Linked DNA regions of Macaca mulatta. Each later gene encodes a partner of the first gene's protein in a complex. Links are inferred from orthologs where the notes say so. Each region holds a gene or a part of one and is shown in the gene's direction. Other genes may lie near its edges.

The links.
Region 2: CDK2AP1 (region 1) and MTA2 share a complex: the UniProt entries of both Homo sapiens proteins name them as parts of the nucleosome remodeling and deacetylase (NuRD) repressor complex. The link is inferred for Macaca mulatta from reciprocal best matches to the Homo sapiens genes CDK2AP1 and MTA2.
Region 3: CDK2AP1 (region 1) and MTA3 share a complex: the UniProt entries of both Homo sapiens proteins name them as parts of the nucleosome remodeling and deacetylase (NuRD) repressor complex. The link is inferred for Macaca mulatta from reciprocal best matches to the Homo sapiens genes CDK2AP1 and MTA3.

Annotation. Positions count from the first base shown.
Region 1 is NC_133416.1:130,669,513-130,672,709, reverse strand, and holds part of CDK2AP1 (cyclin-dependent kinase 2-associated protein 1), read left to right. Parts: intron 1-975; coding exon 976-1,102; intron 1,103-3,197. UniProt on the Homo sapiens protein: Inhibitor of cyclin-dependent kinase CDK2. Also acts as a component of the histone deacetylase NuRD complex which participates in the remodeling of chromatin.
Region 2 is NC_133419.1:11,471,814-11,475,108, forward strand, and holds the end of MTA2 (metastasis-associated protein MTA2), read left to right. Parts: intron 1-4; coding exon 5-144; intron 145-404; coding exon 405-633; intron 634-826; coding exon 827-916; intron 917-1,268; coding exon 1,269-1,387; intron 1,388-1,495; coding exon 1,496-1,644; intron 1,645-1,868; coding exon 1,869-2,034; 3' UTR 2,035-2,677; downstream 2,678-3,295. UniProt on the Homo sapiens protein: May function as a transcriptional coregulator. Acts as a component of the histone deacetylase NuRD complex which participates in the remodeling of chromatin.
Region 3 is NC_133418.1:82,262,208-82,266,395, reverse strand, and holds the start of MTA3 (metastasis-associated protein MTA3), read left to right. Parts: upstream 1-1,368; 5' UTR 1,369-1,378; coding exon 1,379-1,406; intron 1,407-1,730; exon of another isoform or gene 1,731-2,070; intron 2,071-3,079; coding exon 3,080-3,147; intron 3,148-4,188. UniProt on the Homo sapiens protein: Acts as a component of the histone deacetylase NuRD complex which participates in the remodeling of chromatin.

The DNA of each region.
Region 1 (3,197 bases):
CATTCTGGCCATGCGACGGCGGCGCCGAGACAGGCAGGAGGCCCGTGAGGCCTGGAGGCAGTGCCGTGGGGAGGCAGAGCAGCTGGACCAAGATGAGGACAGGAGGACAGAGCGCAAGGCCAGGGGACAGAGGCGGCGGTGGAGGAGGGAGGAGGCGAGGACCTTGCCCAGGGAGCTGGTGCAGCTCTGGGAGGAGGCAGCCAAGGGGAGGTGGTCTGGGCTTGCGGGCTTGCCGGGAGCCCAGCCTCGCTGATCCGGGTGCTTGCTGTGGGGCTCCCAGTGGTGGTGGGAGGAAAGGGTTTCTGGGGGGTGGGCCCTGTGGGTGGGAGGATGAGAGAAGGGAATGCATTCCAGGCTCTGGCGGGGCCATGGCCGATGGCTGTGGTCCTGGTGGCCCAGGTGCGGCCTCTGTCTCCCCACTGGCTTGGAGGCTCGGCACCTGCGATGTGCCCTCCTACTCATCTGCATCCTGGGAAATGCTGTTTGGACTCTTTTGTGCCAAGATGAGCTGGTTCCCCTGTTTTGTTCATTGGAGATGATACACTTGCTTCCTGGAGGCGACTGGGTGGTCTTCCTGAGTGTGTGAGGATAGAAGGGTGAGGACCATCCCCCTAACCTGTAGTTGTCCCCTAGAATGGGACGTGCCTTGGCCCAGCTGAGGTGGCTACCCCAGGAGTCTAAGGCTGGACTGCGTTCCCTCCTCTGACCGGCCCAGGGGCCTCTCCACCCACCTGCCTGTGGCCTTGGGGTCAGGCTGCTGAACCCCTTTTTTTTTTTTTTTTGAGATGTTGAGATGGAGTCTTGCTCTGTCGCCCAGGCTGGAGTGCAGTGGAGCGATCTTGGCTCACTACAACCTCTGCCTCATGGGTCCGGTCCAAGCAGTTCTCCTGCCTCAGCCTCCTGAGTAACTGGGACTACAGGTGCCCACCAACATGCCCAGCTAATTTTGCTGAACCAATTTCTTTCTGATTCTAGGGAACTGGGAACAGCCAAGTGCCCCAAAGCAAATACGCGGAGCTGCTGGCCATCATTGAAGAGCTGGGGAAGGAGATCAGACCCACGTACGCGGGGAGCAAGAGTGCCATGGAGAGACTGAAGCGCGGTGAGCCCGGCCCCGCTGCCCTGCCGTGACCACAGGCTAGGCCTTTAACTCTGGAAAGACTTTTGGGGAAAACATGGGAGGGTGGGCTGGGGATGGGGCTCCTTCATCGGAGCTCCTGTCTTGTCACAGAGTTGCTGTCTGCTATGGAGGCCTCAGGCAGGCGGTGGGTCTGGTGGCGAGGGGCCTAGGGGGCCGGATGCCTTCAGAGGGGTCTTCCGGGAAGGGCAGCCCAGCCAGGGAGCTCTTCTTACCCTGTGTGCTGCCAGGGGGTCTGCTGGCTTTCAAGGGTGTGTTCAAACCACCCCCCACCCCCCCCCCCCCGCCCTGGCCGCCACCACTCTCCCTCCTGCCTCCTGCCTGGTCTGCTTCTGTTGGCCGACACTGGTCCTAGGGAAGCCAGGCTCAGGGTTCTTTGGTGTCTGCACTGCCCTCTGCTGTCACCTCTTTGGAGCGAGACCCAAGGAAGTGTGTGGGTCTGGGGCGGGAGGCTGAGAGCACTTTGTTCTTTAATGACTGGAGAAGGAGGGCAGGCAGGAGATGACAGAGCACAAGGGAACTCATGTTAAGGTGTGACTGCCCGGCTGATTTTGAAAGGAGGTTAAATAGATTGCTATCTCCTGAAATAAAAAGGGAATGGAGGGAGAGCAGGATTTCTATTTTAGAAGGCGATAGTGCAGCGGAGCCATAGCCCATGAACTCATTCAAGATGAGGGGAGACTGGTGCTTTTTTTTTTTTTTTTTGGGAGACGGAGTTTTACTCTTGTTGCCCAGGCTGCAATGCAATGGTGCAATCTTGGCTCACCGCAACCTCCACCCGGGTTCAAGCGATTCTCTTGCCTCAGCCTACTAAGTAGCTGGGATTACAGGCATGTGCCACCAGGCCCAGCTAATTTTTTGTATTTTCAGTAGAGATGGGGTTTCTCCATGTTGTCTGGCTGGTCTTGCACTCCCAACCTCAGGTGATCTGCCTGCCTTGGCCACTCAAAGTGCTGGCATTACAGGCGTGAGCCACTGTGCCTGGCCCGGGACTTGGGGTTCTTAAAAAGGCTGGAGAAGCGACCTGGGAGGGGAACATTTTTTTTTTTTTTGAGATGGAGTCTTGCTGTGTCACCCAGGCTGGAGTGCAGTGGCGCAATCTCGGCTCACTGCAGCCTCCGCCTCCCGGGTTCAAGCGATTCTCCCGCCTCAGCCTCCCAAGTAGCTGGGAGTACAGACGTGCGCCACTATGCCCAGCTAGTTTTTGTATTTTTAGTAGAGACCAGGTTTTACCATGTTGGTTGGCCAGGATGGTCTCAATTTCTTGACCTTATGATCTATCCACCTCGGCCTCCCAAAGTGCTGGAATTACAGGCGTGAGCCACCATGCCTGGCCTGGGAGAGGAACATTCTTTGGTTGTAAATCTGTAGGAAATATGGGGGCTGTAGTTGAAGTCATGACCCCAGTGACACGAGGGCCAGTTGAGGACAGGCTGCTGCCAGGAGCGGGGTTGCTCTGGAGTTCATGCAGCCTTTGTGAAGAGGTTGACGGATCTCAAAGCTAGGTTGGGACCAGCAGGGTTAGAGGATGTGATTGAAGAGGGCCTGGGGAAGGGATGCAGAACCCAACCCTGGTCTCGCCCAGAGTGTTGGGTGGTCCCAGGGCCGCTCTCTGGTAGCAGGGGTGCTGGTTACCCGAATGGAAATTCCTGGGAAGATGCTGGGTCCCAAAGTCCAACAGGTGATTTGCAGTTGCCCATAAAAGGCACTGCTTCAAGTCAGCAAATGCGTACTAGCTGCCAGTCTTGCAGTAACAAGGAAGACCCAGTGCCTCCCCTTGGCCAACAGCCAAGCCCAAGCTGACCAAGCTCATGTCACAGCAGGGTGAAAACATGTCATAGAGGGGTCAGGGAGTTAGGAGCATAGGAGCGTTGTAGGTTGGTTGGCAACTGCAGCCCACGAGCCAAGAGCCAAGAATAGTGTGTTTTTCTTTTTTTTTTTTTTGAGACGGAGTCTTGCTCTGTCACCCAGGCTGGAATGCAGTCGTGCGATCTCGGCTCACTGCAACCCCTGCCTCCTGGGTTCAAGCAATTCTCCTGCCTCAGCCTCCTGAGTAGCT
Region 2 (3,295 bases), on another chromosome or scaffold:
GCAGCCACACAGTCTGCTCAGTGGTATGCCTGGGGCCCACCTAACATGCAGTGCCGCCTCTGTGCTTCCTGTTGGATCTACTGGAAGAAATATGGGGGACTGAAGACCCCAACTCAGCTTGAGGGAGCCACTCGGGGTACCACGGTAAGGATCAGTGGGGGTAAAAGCAGGGGAGAGCAGTAAGCATATTGATGTGAGCTTAGGTGAGGGCCAGAATATCCAACTCTTTATATGGTGATGGTTTGATGGGCAGGGGGTGCTTGATGCTGGTTGGGGAGACATATAGGCCAAGAGGTCAGTAAAGAGATTAGGCAGGAATAAATTGTCTTCTGCAGGGAATGGAAGAAAGAAGGGAGCCTCGATGCTGATTTCTGCTCTCTCTCTTTCCTATGCTCTTCTTCTAGGAGCCACACTCGAGGGGTCATTTGTCCAGACCTGAAGCTCAAAGTCTCTCCCCTTATACAACCAGCGCCAACCGGGCCAAGCTACTGGCTAAGAACAGGCAAACTTTCCTGCTTCAGACCACGAAACTGACCCGTCTTGCCAGACGCATGTGCAGGGACCTATTACAGCCGAGGAGGGCTGCCCGACGGCCGTATGCTCCTATCAATGCCAATGCCATCAAAGCAGAGTGTAAGGACAGGGAGTGATGGGGCTGGTGGTGGGTTTAGGGTTGCTCTGCCCAGAGACGATTGTTTCTCTGGATGTTTAATAACAGGAGGCATAGTAGGCCACAGGTAATTTTTTAAAGATTAGACTTGGCTTCTGGCCTCAGAGGAGACCTGAATGGTGAAGCCCTTCAGAAGCTTTCATCTTTGTTCTGCAGGCTCCATTCGACTTCCTAAGGCCGCCAAGACTCCATTGAAGATTCACCCTCTGGTGCGGCTGCCCCTGGCAACTATCGTCAAAGATCTGGGTATGGGATGAGGACCAGTGAGGGTGGCATCAGGCTCCCAGTCCGTTCCCTGTCCAACATCTTCTCTCCCCTTGTTTTCTTCTTCCCCATAGTGTCCTCAGAGATTTAGTCTAACAAACTGTACTTTTGTTGTTTAATAATTTTTTTTGTAAACTATTCAGTATTACTGTACTGATTTGATAAGGTTATACTGATATTTGAAATACTAGTGATAGCTTGCCAGAACCTTACCCCATTGCTACTTTTGGGGATGCCCAGGTAAACTGCTGGTCCAGGGGAAGAGATGGAAGTAACAAAGGGGAACTGTGTAGGGAAGAAAAGGTGTGAAAGTTTTCTATTACTTTTTTTCCAGTGGCCCAGGCACCCCTGAAACCAAAAACACCTCGGGGTACCAAGACACCGATCAACAGAAACCAGCTGTCCCAGAACCGGGGACTGGGGGGCATTATGGTGAAACGGGCCTATGAGACTGTGAGTTGACAGAAAGGGGTGGGCCAAGCTGAGTTGGGTGGGCTTTTGTTTCTCATAGGAGTCTGAGAGGGTCCCTTCCCTCATTGTGCCATCCTGCCTCTTTTCCAGATGGCAGGGGCAGGGGTTCCTTTCTCTGCCAATGGAAGGCCTCTGGCTTCAGGGATTCGTTCAAGCTCACAGCCAGCCGCCAAGCGTCAGAAACTAAACCCTGCTGATGCCCCCAATCCTGTGGTGTTTGTGGCCACAAAGGATACCAGGTAGGGAGTCTACCATGGGAGGGGCTGAGAGGGACAGTCCAGGCTGTGAGTGTGGGGAGTAGGAGTTTCAGAGCAAGAGCTCTAGGAAGGTTGTGGATGCAGGGTGGGGATGCCAGAAAAGAATGGGCCAGAAGGCAGAATTGCAGTGTGGAATGTGGGGCTTCACCTGGAGGGCTTAGTGTTCTCTAAGCCTTTTCTGTTTCTCACTTGCTCTTTCTGGCCAGGGCCCTGCGGAAGGCTCTGACCCATCTGGAAATGCGGCGAGCTGCTCGCCGACCCAACTTGCCCCTGAAGGTGAAGCCAACGCTGATGGCAGTGCGGCCCCCTGTCCCTCTACCTGCACCCTCACATCCTGCCAGCACTAATGAGCCTATTGTCCTGGAGGATTGAGCACCTGTGGGGGAGGGAGGTGGGCTGAGAGGTAGAGGGTGGATGCCCAGGGCACCCAAACCTCCCTTCCCTTTCGTGTCAAAGGGAGTGAGGAGTAAGGAAGAGAGCAAGTGAGTGTGCGTCCCTGGAGGGGTTGGGCGCCCTCTGGTGTTACAACCTCGAGACTTGTCTCATGCCTCCATGCTTGCTGATGGAGGACAGACTGCAGGAACTTGGCCCATGTGGGAACCTAGCCTGTTTTGGGGGGTAGGACCCACAGATGTCTTGGACAGTTTTGGGGGGAGGGTTTTTTAATTTTTTAAAAATTTTGCCTCCCTTTGTGAAAGGGGATGGGGAGGGGAAGAGTAAACAGATAACAGGTGGTGGTACCTGGTTGGGGGAGGGGGGCGTGCACTGCCATGTCTTTTTTTTTTTTTTCCTAATTGGGGGTTTCTCTTTCTGTCCGGTGTCCGGACTATCCTAATTGGAGTTTGAGGCCCCTAAGCTGGCATCAACCCCAGGCCATGCTCGCTCTTTCCTTCCCTCCCCTCCCCCTCCGCCTTTTGTACGCCAGTTCTCAGAAATAAAGATCTTTTGTCCGTTTTTTTAACCTCGGATTCTGTAATTGGTTCTTATAGTAACAAATAAAAAGCTGTTTTCTTCAGCTTCTCCTGGCTCAGCTGTTCTTTGCCATGGGTGTGTGTTGTGTGTGTGTTGGGGGTGTCTTTGACAGGGAAAATAAAGGACAAAGGACAACAAAGGAGGTACAGATGGTTCTTGCCTTGGGAACAGCTTTATGAGATATGCAGCCTGGACCGAGGCGGCTTGCTCCAGCTAGCCTTCTTGTGGGATCCAAACTGCTCCCCAGCTCCCAGTGGTGATGGAGCCCAAGCACCATCTTGGCCCAGATTCCTTCACAGGAGTTGAGATGAGCTTTCTGGATGACTGGTGGCCTCCATAGGAAAGGAGAATGGGGGTGTTTCTTCCTCTGTTTCCCACCTCTTACTCCCCTCTCCCTTTCACTTAAGGAATTCTGGAAGTTGCTGGCAGCCAGGGTAACATGTATACCACCTTGGTGGTGGTGATGGGGTTATAGGAGGATCTCCTCACCTAGCTGTGTGGTGTATTTGGCAGATGAGAATTCTACCATTGAACCACTCGAGCACCTCTGGGTGTATGTGTACAGCCTGCTGCTTCAGGATCCTCAAGGCCAGTCTCAGCAACTGCCTTGATACCCTGATCCACTGTAGCACCGTTTCCTGCCTGAAAGGTTTGGGACACT
Region 3 (4,188 bases), on another chromosome or scaffold:
TGTGATAAGGGACCATCACAAATGTTATCACCAAACAACCGAAACACAACCTTCTTTTCTGGGGGCACCTCTTAGCCCCGCACAGATGTCAAACCCAGAGTCGACAGCACACAGCTGTGTATCACCAGACATTCCAAACAAGCCACCACACCAAGAAATCCTCTTCGTGTTTATTATGCACCAATGTCTGGGAGTACTTTGGAATGGACTGGCTTCTCTAAAGAAAGTTATTTGTGTTCGTTTGGGGGATAGCCAGCTAAGATTCAACGTTGTTGGTTTTTTTTTGTTTTGTTTCTGTGAGAGTAGGAAGGCCGTGAAAACAGAGGTTGTTTAGAGAATTGGCTTGGGACAATAATCATTTAGAAGCTTTAGGCACATAACCAGCTAAGTGTCCATCCATATCAAGCTGATTGAACAGAATCTCCTCTTTTTGGGGGTGGTGATTGTGAACTGTAGGGCCCTGTTCCCCCATGGACAAAGGAAGCCCCCCACTCCTAAAGGTCCCAGCAGAACAGGCCCTGCATATATAGGGCCTGTCTAGAGCCAGGGCCTCCATCTGGGTGTTGGAGAGTTGGTTCTGCTCAGCCCAGTTTTGGGGTGAACGATGATGCAGTTAGGGTAGCCTAGGAAGGGAGTTTTTCAACCTCTGTCCCCAGCCGGGTCTCTGGCGAGGCGGGAAGCACCCAGGGTCTTCCTGGCCCTAGAGCCTGCAGGCTCCAGGCCGGCCCCTTGGATCTCACCACGAGGAAGGCACCCTGCTGCCTGTACTTATTTGCGTCCAAGAGTTTGCATTGAGATTGGCGCTCGCCTACCAGGTCAGCCCCAGGGGGGGTCCCCAGGGACAGAGGTAGGAAAGGAGGACCTGTCTCGGGGTGGACAGGTGACGGGGTACACTGGGTGGGGCAAGAGGTGCTGGGGAGAGGCTGAGCCCCAGCCCCCACTCTAATTCTCTAACTGCCCCTGGTCCGCATTTGAGCGCAGGCCTCTGCCTCGGCCAGGACCCTGGCTCCAGGGCCCTCCACTTCCAGCGAGGCCCCCCACCCTCCCTCCCACTCTCCTTCCCCTCCCCCTCCCCCTCCCCCTCCCCCTCCCCCCCAATTCCCGCTGGTCCCGCAGCGCTCGGGCCTCCCCGGGCCTCCCCCGGCCCGGCCCACTAGGCTTCGCTAGCCTGGCGCTGGGGGCGGGCACCAGCCCCCACCCCTCGGCGTCCCCTCCCCTTCACTTCCCCCTCCCCCTGTCCCCTCCCTTCCCTCCCTTCCCCCCCGTGGCGAGGCAGCAGCGGAGGCGGCGGCGGCAGCGGCGGTCGAGGCTGAGGCTGAGGAGGTGGCGGCGGCGGCGGGCGGGGCTCGGCTCGGGCTCCGCGGGCGGGCGGGCGGACATGGCGGCCAACATGTACCGGGTCGGAGGTAGGCAGGCTCAGCCCGACCCGGCCCGTGTGGGAGCGGGCTCCGGGACCGGGGGGCCGGGGCGAGCGCACGCCAACTGCCGGGAGCCACTGGCGCCGGGGCTGAGGTCGCAGGGGGCGGGGGCGCCGGGGCCCGCAGAGGGGCCAGGACTCCCCACCCCCACCCCACCCCTCCCCTCCCCCCACGGGGGCTCGCGAGGGGCCGGGGCCACCTTCACCCTCGCACCCCGCCAGGTGTTTAGGGCCAGGCCTCTACTTGGGGGTACGAATTACCAGACACCTCCCTCCACGAAACCCTCATGGTGGTGGGGCCCGTCGAGCCCCCTGAGAAGGTGGCCTTCTCGCGTGGCTTCTAGGCGCTGGAGAGGATGAGGGGACATCCCCTCCCCTGCTTCTTCCCCACTCAGTGGGAGCCTGGGGTGGGGGTGGGGGCGGTGGGGGCCCAGCCAGGGGCCCAGCTGGACAGGCCTGTTTGCGGGCCTGCACCTTGCCGGGGCCCTGCACCTCGCCTTCCTCGGCCCCCCTCCTTTCGTTTCTGGTCCAGCCCCCCACGAATGGGGCTTCGTGGGACCTGGGAACCTCAGCCGGAGGTGGGGAGTTGAGCTCTGCCTGGACGTTTGCTCTGCTGCCTGCCTCCTTCCCAGTCTGCGGAAGAGAGAAATAAGGTCAAACAAACTTTCTCCCTACTCACGACGCCCTCCTCCCTCTTTCCTGGTAAAATAATAATTCAGATAAGTGGCGTGTTTGTATGAGAGACTGGCTCTTCCTTCTCCGCTCATTAGCTGAGCTTCTGATGGATGGTGGTGGGAATGGCCTGGCTAAATGAGGCCACTTTGCAGAAGACAGCGGCGAAAGAGCCACTAAGATAGACAATAACAATGCAGCTGCCTTTGAGATAAACACACAGTGGGAAGTTTCCAGCGAGCCTATCAGATGAGAGGAAAAGCCACACTTGAAAAATGTTATCTTTTTAGTTGAAAGCCTGCAGCAATTTCTTAATCACAAGACATTAAATGGATCTGGATTAAATATGGTAAAAGGGTAAAAAAGATGGTGATATCACCCCCAGGGCACTTTGCCTCTTATAATTGATCCCCCTGACCCGCTTTTTCCCTCATCTTCCCAGGTAGAGCTGTGGAAAAGTTTGTTAGTGTTCTTCCTCTTACCTGTTCTGCTCATCTGATTTTTTTTTTTTTTTTTTTTTTTTTTAAGTAGCGATTGAAATGTAGGTTGGACTGTGAAGCCTTTCTCCATGCTCTGAATGTGTCTTAGGTCAATAGTTTTATGTGAGAAGCAGCCTCCAGGGCAAATTGTATTGGAGGAAAAAGATGTGGAAGTAGTTATAGTACAGAGGACACATGTTTAGTGTGCCCCGACTACCCAGTGATAAGAGGTGTCTTTTTTGTTTATTATTAAAGAAATGACATATTGGGACAGAAGTCTAGGAGAAACTGATGAAACATTAATTGAAATGAAAATGCCAAGAAAATAAAGGTCCGTGAATAGTAGGCACATGAGAGAATATATTAAGGCTGCATTATTATGTTTGCTTTTACCAGTGAATGAATTATGAGCTTAATTTCAAACGTGAATTGCCTAACATAAAAAGTCTTGGATTGACAAATCTGAACTTTCTGTTGAAAATATTAAGTTCTGTACTTCCTTTAATTACAGATTATGTCTACTTTGAGAATTCCTCCAGCAACCCATACCTAATAAGAAGGATAGAAGAACTCAACAAGGTATATACACTGAGTGTTCTTAATTTTAATTTAAAAAATATTTATTTTCCCTTAACGGGTAATTAGGTAAAGGGTGGCCTGGTGCGGAGGCTCATGCCTGCAATCCCAGTAAATTGGGAGGCCTGGTGGGTGGTTTGAGACCAGCCTGTGCAACATAGTGAGACCCCATCTCTATTTTTTTTTTTTTTTTTTTTTTTTTTTTTTGAGACGGAGTCTCGCTCTGTCACCCAGGCTGGAGTGCAGTGGCCGGATCTCAGCTCACTGCAAGCTCCGCTTCCCGGGTTCACGCCATTATCCGGCCTCAGCCTCCCGAGTAGCTGGGACTACAGGCGCCCGCCACCTCGCCCGGCTAGTTTTTTGTTTTGTATTTCTTAATAGAGACGGGGTTTCACCGTGTTAGCCAGGATGGTCTCGATCTCCTGACCTCGTGATCCGCCCGTCTCGGCCTCCCAAAGTGCTGGGATTACAGGCTTGAGCCACCGCGCCCGGCCTATTTTTTTTTTTTAATTAATATAAAAAATAAAAATAGGGCTGGGCACGGTGGCTCATGCCTGTAATCTCAGCACTTTGGGAGGCCGAGGTGGTAGGATCACCGGAGGTCAGGAGTTCGAGAACAGCCTGACCAACATGGAGAAACCCCGTCTCTGCTAAAAATACAAAAAAATTAGCCGGGCATGGTGGCACATGCCTATAATCCCAGCCACTTGGGAGGCTGAGGCAGGAGAATCGCTTGAACCCAGGAGGCGGAGGTTGTGGTAAGCCAAGATCGTACCATTGCACTCGAGCCTGGGCAACGAGTGAAATTCCATCTCAAAAAAAAGAAATAATAATAATAAATAAAAATGAATGGGGTAAAGGGCATAAGAGATGGTTTTACTTTCAGTCCCAGACTCTTTGAAAGTTGAGATTTTAGGCCGGGCATGGTGGCTAATGCCTGTAATCCCAGCAATTTGGGAGGCCAAGGCAGGTGGATCACTTGAGGTCAGGAGTTCAAGACCAGCCTGGCCAACATGGTGAAACCCCGTTTCTACCAAAAAAGTA